Linked DNA regions of Schizosaccharomyces pombe. The protein of the gene in region 2 interacts with the protein of the main gene of each other region in a biochemical or structural test. Each region holds a gene or a part of one and is shown on either strand. Other genes may lie near its edges.

Region 1 (4,481 bases), on a different chromosome or scaffold from region 2:
TCGATTTCTGGTCAAGAAGCGGAAGATCCCTTTAGCGGGTTTGATGATCTTGAGGATACAGACTCCACCTCGCAGTACTTGAACGAAAATTCAGGTAGCTTTAATGGTAGCATAAACTCAATAATCAATTTTCCAGATATGAGTGAAATATACGATGTCGGCCCAGAGTTTGAAAAAAAGCAATTTAGCGAAGATATTCAATGGCGAAAGAGAATTGATGGCTGGTTTTTTTCATTTAAAAACGATGACAGGTCACGACTATGGGAGCTTTATAATATACTTAATGCCGAACAATAAACAAGGTTTTGTCTTTACCTTGCGAATGTTTATATATAATTATACGAATGCTTTTGTTTATCGCAGATTTGATCTTTTTGTACATAGCTTAATACACTTCGAAGATTTTTCATTTTGTTTGCAAATAGATGTATAAGATGTACAACAATGATACAAATGTAATACTAATGTGACACCCAGACAAACTAGATTGTTTGAACAAGACAATACAAAGAAAATAATCAATTAAATTTGGACCGAATACATTATACCCTTAAATACCGTCTGTAATATAGAAACCATTTTTGCCATCATTATAATACTTGTAAGCGTCTTTTAACACATTATTGGGGTTGCCAAGGAGGTTGTGAGACATACCCAGAAGAGTAATTAGGATCCATATATGGATAGCCGGGATTATATGGGTTGGTAGGGGGAGGAACGGTACTAGGATTACCATGCCAGTCATTTCCTGAATCAAAATGCCTTTCACCATGGTGAATGGGTGGACCTCCCCTATATGGTTTACGACCCCGGAATCGCTCATCACGACGCATAGCAAAATCTTTTCCTCTTTTACTAATTGCCTTAGAACTTATTCCTAATCCAATTTCAATATCAGGTTCATCCAAAGCGATACCAGGAGTAATCGGAAGGCCACCCGTGCCGCCATATTCTGCAGTTACAAGCCAGGTACGATCGGCATCCGTCAACAAACGGATTGGGATAACGCTGATTCCTGTGGAAAAGTCAGAGCACTCTCGAGGTCCAAATCCTACACCCCATTTAGTACGAATAGTAGTATCAGCAAAAGGGACATTTTCCATCGCTACTTGAGCTTTCTCTGCAGCATCACGACGAAACATTTTCAAGAACCCGTGTCTGTAATTATGATTTAAAATTAAACTTTGTACAGACCCAAATCGTTCAAACATAGATCGAAGAACAGGTTCTCGCACAGAACGAGTAATACCACCAAGGAAAAGAGTACGGCTGTATACCTTAATAGAATCAGGTGGAATGGTTGGGTCACGCTCAAATCGGCGAGGAAATCCATCAGGGGTAGGTTTTGGCACACCATCTGCAGGAGGCAAAGTAGAAGGAATGGATAAATGAGAAGGACTAGGGCTACGACGAGGGCGACCACTACGAGGACTAGGGCTACGAGAACGATGTAAGGAGCCGAGTCTTAAGGATTGGGAAGAGGTAGGAGCTGGCAAAGGAACACTGCCGACACCAGCCGGCTGGAATGGAGCGTTATAGTTGGGAAAAGCAGCTTTCATGATGCTATCGATTTGTGCAGGTGGTACATTCTGAGAAGCCAATACATTCATGAGAGTGATCTGTTGACTCTGGGTATCATTGACCGATCCTGTCTTCATCCCCATGGGACCAGAGGGAATAGACTGTGGTACATTTGAAGGTTGGAATAGAGGGTTTGATAATGGATTGCCTGACTGAGACTGTGCATTAATGGCGGTAGCTGGATGAACAGGTAGGTTAGGGACGACAGCAGAAACGGATGGTGCGACGGCAGGCTGCGGTGGAGTGCTAACTGATTCTTCGGCAGCACTAGGGACGGGCGCCTTTTGAGCGAAAGCAGCCAATGCCTCTAGAATAGAAGCAGCATCGTTTTCGACAGGACGAGAAGTGGGGGCGGCTGCTTGACTACCAACAGAACCACCATTCCCCTCGGGATTAGTAGACTGTGATGGAGCAGCAGCAGAATCTACACTAACCGGTTCCGTACTTGCCATTGCATCTTTCAGCTTTGAACGAAGCGATTCTAGCTTCTCGGGAGGAAATGTTGAAGCCTTCTCCCAAATATCACAAAGCTTTAATATTTTAGGCTACATGCTTAGTTAGTTACAAATTAGTCCAATAATGTTAAAAGACTTCTCAAAGAGAATGATACTGTATTACAAGGAAAAAATACCTCTCTCATACAGTGTCTCGCTGATACAGAAGCAGAGAGAGCATACGATTATCCATACGGGATCTTATCCGTAGTCAACCTTGAAAAACTTCAGCTACACATACCAAATGAGCAGATGGCGCATGCTGTATAGCATCTGCGACCAAACTATCAGTTATTTCAGCAGCTTTGCACCAGCCGCCACTAAAAGACGCATCAACGGGATTTTCAAAAGATTCATTATTCTTTTTAGCACCGTCCTGAAAGCTACGAACGATTGAGTCTAGAATATACAAAGCTCCTAATTTATGGGTGACGGGAGCACGCTTCGCATACTTATACACACTAGCAACAAATTGCGCATTCTCTGAAACATTTTCCATCGACAAGTTAGTCAATTTCAAAATTTTTGATCCCGAGATTCCTGTCTTGGAATGTTCAAGGGAATCTAAAATACCATCGAATTCAGCGATTCCCGACATATCACAAGAAAAACGACAATGAAAAAAAAAAAAAACTTTTCAAAACTAGAAAACTACCCTGTTTCCTTTATAAGAATTTTACTACTTTTTTTCTTATATTAGTTTTTTACACGTGCTTGAAAGACGTTAAAAAAGGAAGTCACCCTGTTCTTAAATACTTTTTGTGTTATGGTTACGGTTAAGTGGTGAAGTAGGTGATGCTGGTTATAAAGCTGGTATTACGGAAGGGTAAGGAAAGTGCTTAAAGAGATGCTAAAAATTTCCAAAGTTTCACACTTTGTAAAAAAAAATATATATCATATTGTTTTAAAAAATGTATGAAAATTTTTAGTGTAAAAAAAAATAATAATAATGAGTAGCGTTTTTGTTAATTTCATGCCCATGATCCTTCTGGTAACAAGTTTGTCAGCCTCGACCACAAAATTGGGACTGCGAAGTAATCTCAGGGTTCGGGTTTATTTATGAGATTTACTATATATACAGGTACTCGTGCATTTGGTTCGGTATTCTCTCTTTGCCTTTTGGCTTAGATCAAGTGTAGTATCTGTTCTTTTCAGTTTAATCGCTGAAATCACCTCACTGAGGTGTTTCCGATTAATCTTGTTTTTGGTTTGAGTTGGAAAGCCTCTGGCTTGCTATGCTTTCCGACACTGGTGTTCTTGCTATTGCACTACTGGCAAGCGACGCCGAATCTTCTTCTGTTGACAGATTTGTGACGCATGAATTTGACAACATTGGATGGTTTAGGATGTGAGGTTTGAAAATATTTAACTTCGTACATTGATAGTGTGTGGTGAAGATAATATTGTTATCGTTGAAAGTAAGCAGTTTATTTAAATTTTTTCAGTTGCTAAACCCACTGAAAGAGAGGTTGAAGACTTGCTGATGCTATGCGTATTGAACTTTTAACACAGTGGGAAAGGTAATTAAATAATTTTATCTTTAAAATTCAGTAAGTAGTTATTAGTGGTTGGGGGTTTTGAGAATAAAAGTGAGGTAAGTAGTTAATGCTGTAAGCAATTGTGAACTGTAGAGTTGTGTTGACATTAGCATTTTTTTTCATTAATGCTTGATGATATCCTAATTTGTGGATAATATAGAAAGCATTTGACTGTTTTATGGTAGTCTAGATAGTCAATTTTTAGTGAAATGACTGAAGTCAAAGCATGTGATATACTGTATCGCATTTGATTTTGTAAACTGAGTCTAGCAATGTGCAAGGTCTCCTTTGTTATGCTTATGAAGATGGGTGTACCAAATGATATTGCTTATTAAGGAGCGTAATCATTTGCGATATGATTCAAGGTTGCTCCACCAATTCTATCTTTATTGCCATCTTTGATTCTGGCGATAATTTTTCGCTTCCACATTGCCAGACTTATATAATGACCCCCGGTATGTCTGATTGGGTTATTATCCTATAGCCACCACCGCCTTAATGAACTGAGACACATTGTATACTACTTAAAGTGGATCTCTTAGTTACGTTTGATTTAATTTTTTTAAGGTATAAACATAGACAACACAATCCTTTAATACCCATCTTCAACGGTTTGAGTGATTCATTGCTGATTAGTAAGGGGTGTATCAATCTTCATCAGCATCTACTTGTTCAATAGGTTTCAGGATATCTTTCGTTTGTTTTTCTTAGTTCTTTCAAACTTTCTTTGTTTTTTTATTCGTTTCTAGTCGATTAAAAACTTTAAAAAAATGTCTTCTGCATCCATGTTCGGGAGTCTTAAAACCAATGCTGTGGACGAATCCCAGTTGAAGGCTAGAATTGGAGTTTTAGCTCTCCAAGGAGCATT
Region 2 (3,113 bases):
GTCGCACCTACCATTCAGCATATGTGGGATCAAGAAAAGTACCATCTCGCAACATTTGATAATTATGTCTTAAAGAATAGAGTCCGTCCTACCTTTTTACGTCCTTTCTGGGACATCGCTGGATTTGCGTTGGGAGCAGGAACTGCTTTGCTTGGAACCAAAGCAGCTATGGCTTGTACAGAGGCAGTAGAAACGGTAATTGGCGGACACTATAACGACCAACTACGTGAAACGGCTCATTTGGAAAATAAAGCTCCAGAATTTAAAGAGATTCGTAGCCATTTGGCAGAGTTTCGAGATGACGAGCTAGAGCATTTGAACACTGCAGTCGAAGGTTGGAACGCAAAGGAAGCTCCAGCTCATGCATTGCTTACCAATGCCATTCAAATGGGTTGCAAAGCGGCTATCTGGATGTGTAAACGATTTTAAATACTTCAAGTTTTCCTGCCTCAAACTCAACTTGCTAGTCCTTTATGAAGCAAAGAACGCCCATTTGATTCAAAATGTTTAGTTTTTCTTGCTTCACAATAGTATGATCCTTGTTAAAACTTACTTAATCTAATTAATACATTTTATCTAAATTCCTTTTCGCGTGTATTCAGTGTTTGTATTATATTTTTTTAATAGACTAATTAAGAAGTGTATGGTGCATAAAAAAACATAGATTTTGTTAAAAAAAGTTTTATGACCCCTCATAAATTATGGAATAATAATGACAAAAACGTCGTATTATAAATCCTGATATAGCTAATAGTTTATAAGACCGGAAACCTTTTAAGTTTTCATAATTGACAATAAACAGACTTGCCTGAGATCTATTTATTGCATTAATCTTGAAATTTACGCAAAGTGGAAAGCTCATCCAAGATGCCTTGAAGATTTTGGTCATCAATTTTATTCGCGAGACTAGGAATCAAGGTCCTAGCCTCTTCAGCGTCTTCGCAGCAGAGTGTTCCCAATTGTGCACGTTCAAATTTATGGAATCGATTACCAAGAATTCTATGAGGTTAGTCAAATATTTGCATACGGCTATTTTCCTCTAAAATTCTATTCAATTCTTTGAAATTATGTACCTTTCACATGCATAAGTGGCTTCAGCCGTTTTAAACCGAGCAAAAACATTGAAGTAAGCTACTGTTTTTTTCATCACACTATCCTAGTTAATTAAAAAAGAATATGCATACAATAAGACATACTCAGTCATTGGAATCTCACCATTAGTTTCGCGTGCTCGTTGTGCCAGAACTGTTTCAATAAGGATTTTGGCCTCTGAAACCGTCAACATATCCTCATTCTCAAACTCTTTTTATATTAGCAACAGAATAAAATTCAAATCCAACCTGGACCAAGTTTTAATTGTGCAGCATCTTCCTCAAAAATAGCCCTCGGCATTATGAATAGATGCTCGCAAACACTCTCTTCAGAATGTTGTTTTTTCTTTTTATCTAATTAAATCAATAACTATTATACAAATGTATTCCCAAAAATAATGTCAGAATGCTCTTTATGCACAACAACCAGCTTTCTTGCTGTTGCTTCGTGTCTAAAAATCGCGTCCTTGATTGCAGCATTTCTATAGCCGCTGCTAATAATAACGATATTTTATATTTATCTTAAAACTAAATAACGATTGTTCTTAATAACATTATGAATTTACCGAGATGTACGGAGATGTCTAAGAAAAATTTATTTTATTGATATTTCTTAATCATTTGTCTAGCTTAACGACGCCAGGGTTTTGGAGTATTTTCTCGTTAAAACCAAAGAGCTTTCTATTAAAATTATTCTCAAGTCTTTGCTTTAGAGACTTCGTATAGCTAAACGTTAATGCGCCTTAAAAACCTCAGATATGAGGATTCTTCTACTAATTTCGTTATATTCATTTGAAAATACGTTACATTCTTTTAAAGGGGTTATTTCTATTTTTACTGTGCTTAATTCTGAGATGAACCATTCGTTCTTGATTTATATGTTTGTTTTTTATAAATTTGTAAATTTATTTTTATTTTAATTTTAATTCTCACAATTTGACTTTGAATTTGATTTTTAATATGTAGGTTAAGGAAAACAGACTTCGTAACTTTACGATGTAATCGACTGAAGTGCATGTCGTTGTACCACTAATCAACTTAAACTTTTCTGTCTGCGGGATATTATAGAATCTTTTCGCATTCCTTTACCTACATTTCTCCCTTTCTTATTTTTTTACTTTTTCTTTGCTTGTGATTTTAAAAAAGAACGCATAAAAACACGAATTCACTCACAATTGCAGTGACAGCTGTTTTGTAGAATTTTATAAACTAATTGCTTTACCCTTAATCTCAAGATAGTTCTGTTATTCTAGAAAAAATGAGAAAAAAAGTCCTGTTAATGGGCCGCAGTGGCAGCGGCAAAAGTTCAATGAGAAGCATAGTTTTTAGCAATTATGTTGCCAAGGACACGAGAAGGCTAGGTGCTACAATTGATATTGAACATTCGCATGTAAGGTTCTTGGGAAATTTAGTTTTGAACCTATGGGATTGCGGTGGACAGGAGGCGTTCATGGAAAACTATTTATCTGCCCAGCGTGATCACATATTCAGAAACGTTCAAGTACTTATCTATGTTTTCGATGTTGAGTCAAGAGAATTTGAAAGAGATTTAGTAACTTTTCGTAATTGTCTAGAAGCAACAGTGGCCAATAGTCCCCAAGCTCGTGTATTTTGTTTAATACACAAGATGGATTTAGTTCAGGAAGATCTACGTGATTTAGTTTTTGAGGAACGTAAGGCAATTTTGTTAGAAACAAGTAAGGATCTTGAAACCACTTGTTTAGCTACTTCTATTTGGGATGAAACATTATTCAAAGCATGGTCTGCTATTGTCTATACTTTGATTCCTAATACGCCTACTTTGGAATCGCATCTCCGGGAATTTGCCAAAGCTGCTGAGGCTGCTGAGGTAATATTATTTGAAAGAACAACATTTTTGGTTATTTCTTCTTATTCTTCTGAGTCCAATCCTGCCACTGATGCTCACAGGTTCGAAAAAATTAGCAATATTGTTAAGCAATTTAAACTCAGTTGTAGCAAAATGCAAGCTCAATTTACTACTTTTGAGCTTCGTGGTGGTAA

What was found. The genes of interacting proteins can lie anywhere in the genome.
Region 1: the proteins of rpb4 (region 2) and seb1 form a complex in vitro, tested with the Schizosaccharomyces pombe proteins (one study listed by BioGRID).

What each region holds. Positions count from the first base shown.
Region 1 is NC_003424.3:958,253-962,733, reverse strand, and holds seb1 (poly(A)site selection protein Seb1), read right to left. Parts: upstream 2,850-4,481; 5' UTR 2,674-2,849; coding exon 2,317-2,673; intron 2,127-2,316; coding exon 621-2,126; 3' UTR 507-620; downstream 1-506. Other genes in the region: two-component GAP Byr4, read left to right, coding at 1-297; sno1 (glutamine aminotransferase subunit), read left to right, coding at 4,384-4,481. UniProt on the Schizosaccharomyces pombe protein: Involved in the processing of pol II transcripts.
Region 2 is NC_003423.3:1,053,941-1,057,053, reverse strand, and holds rpb4 (DNA-directed RNA polymerase II complex subunit Rpb4), read right to left. Parts: upstream 1,546-3,113; 5' UTR 1,393-1,545; coding exon 1,341-1,392; intron 1,303-1,340; coding exon 1,197-1,302; intron 1,152-1,196; coding exon 1,074-1,151; intron 1,000-1,073; coding exon 828-999; 3' UTR 552-827; downstream 1-551. Other genes in the region: ubiquinone biosynthesis protein Coq7, read left to right, coding at 1-429; Gtr1/RagA G protein Gtr1, read left to right, coding at 2,350-3,113. UniProt on the Schizosaccharomyces pombe protein: DNA-dependent RNA polymerase catalyzes the transcription of DNA into RNA using the four ribonucleoside triphosphates as substrates. Component of RNA polymerase II which synthesizes mRNA precursors and many functional non-coding RNAs.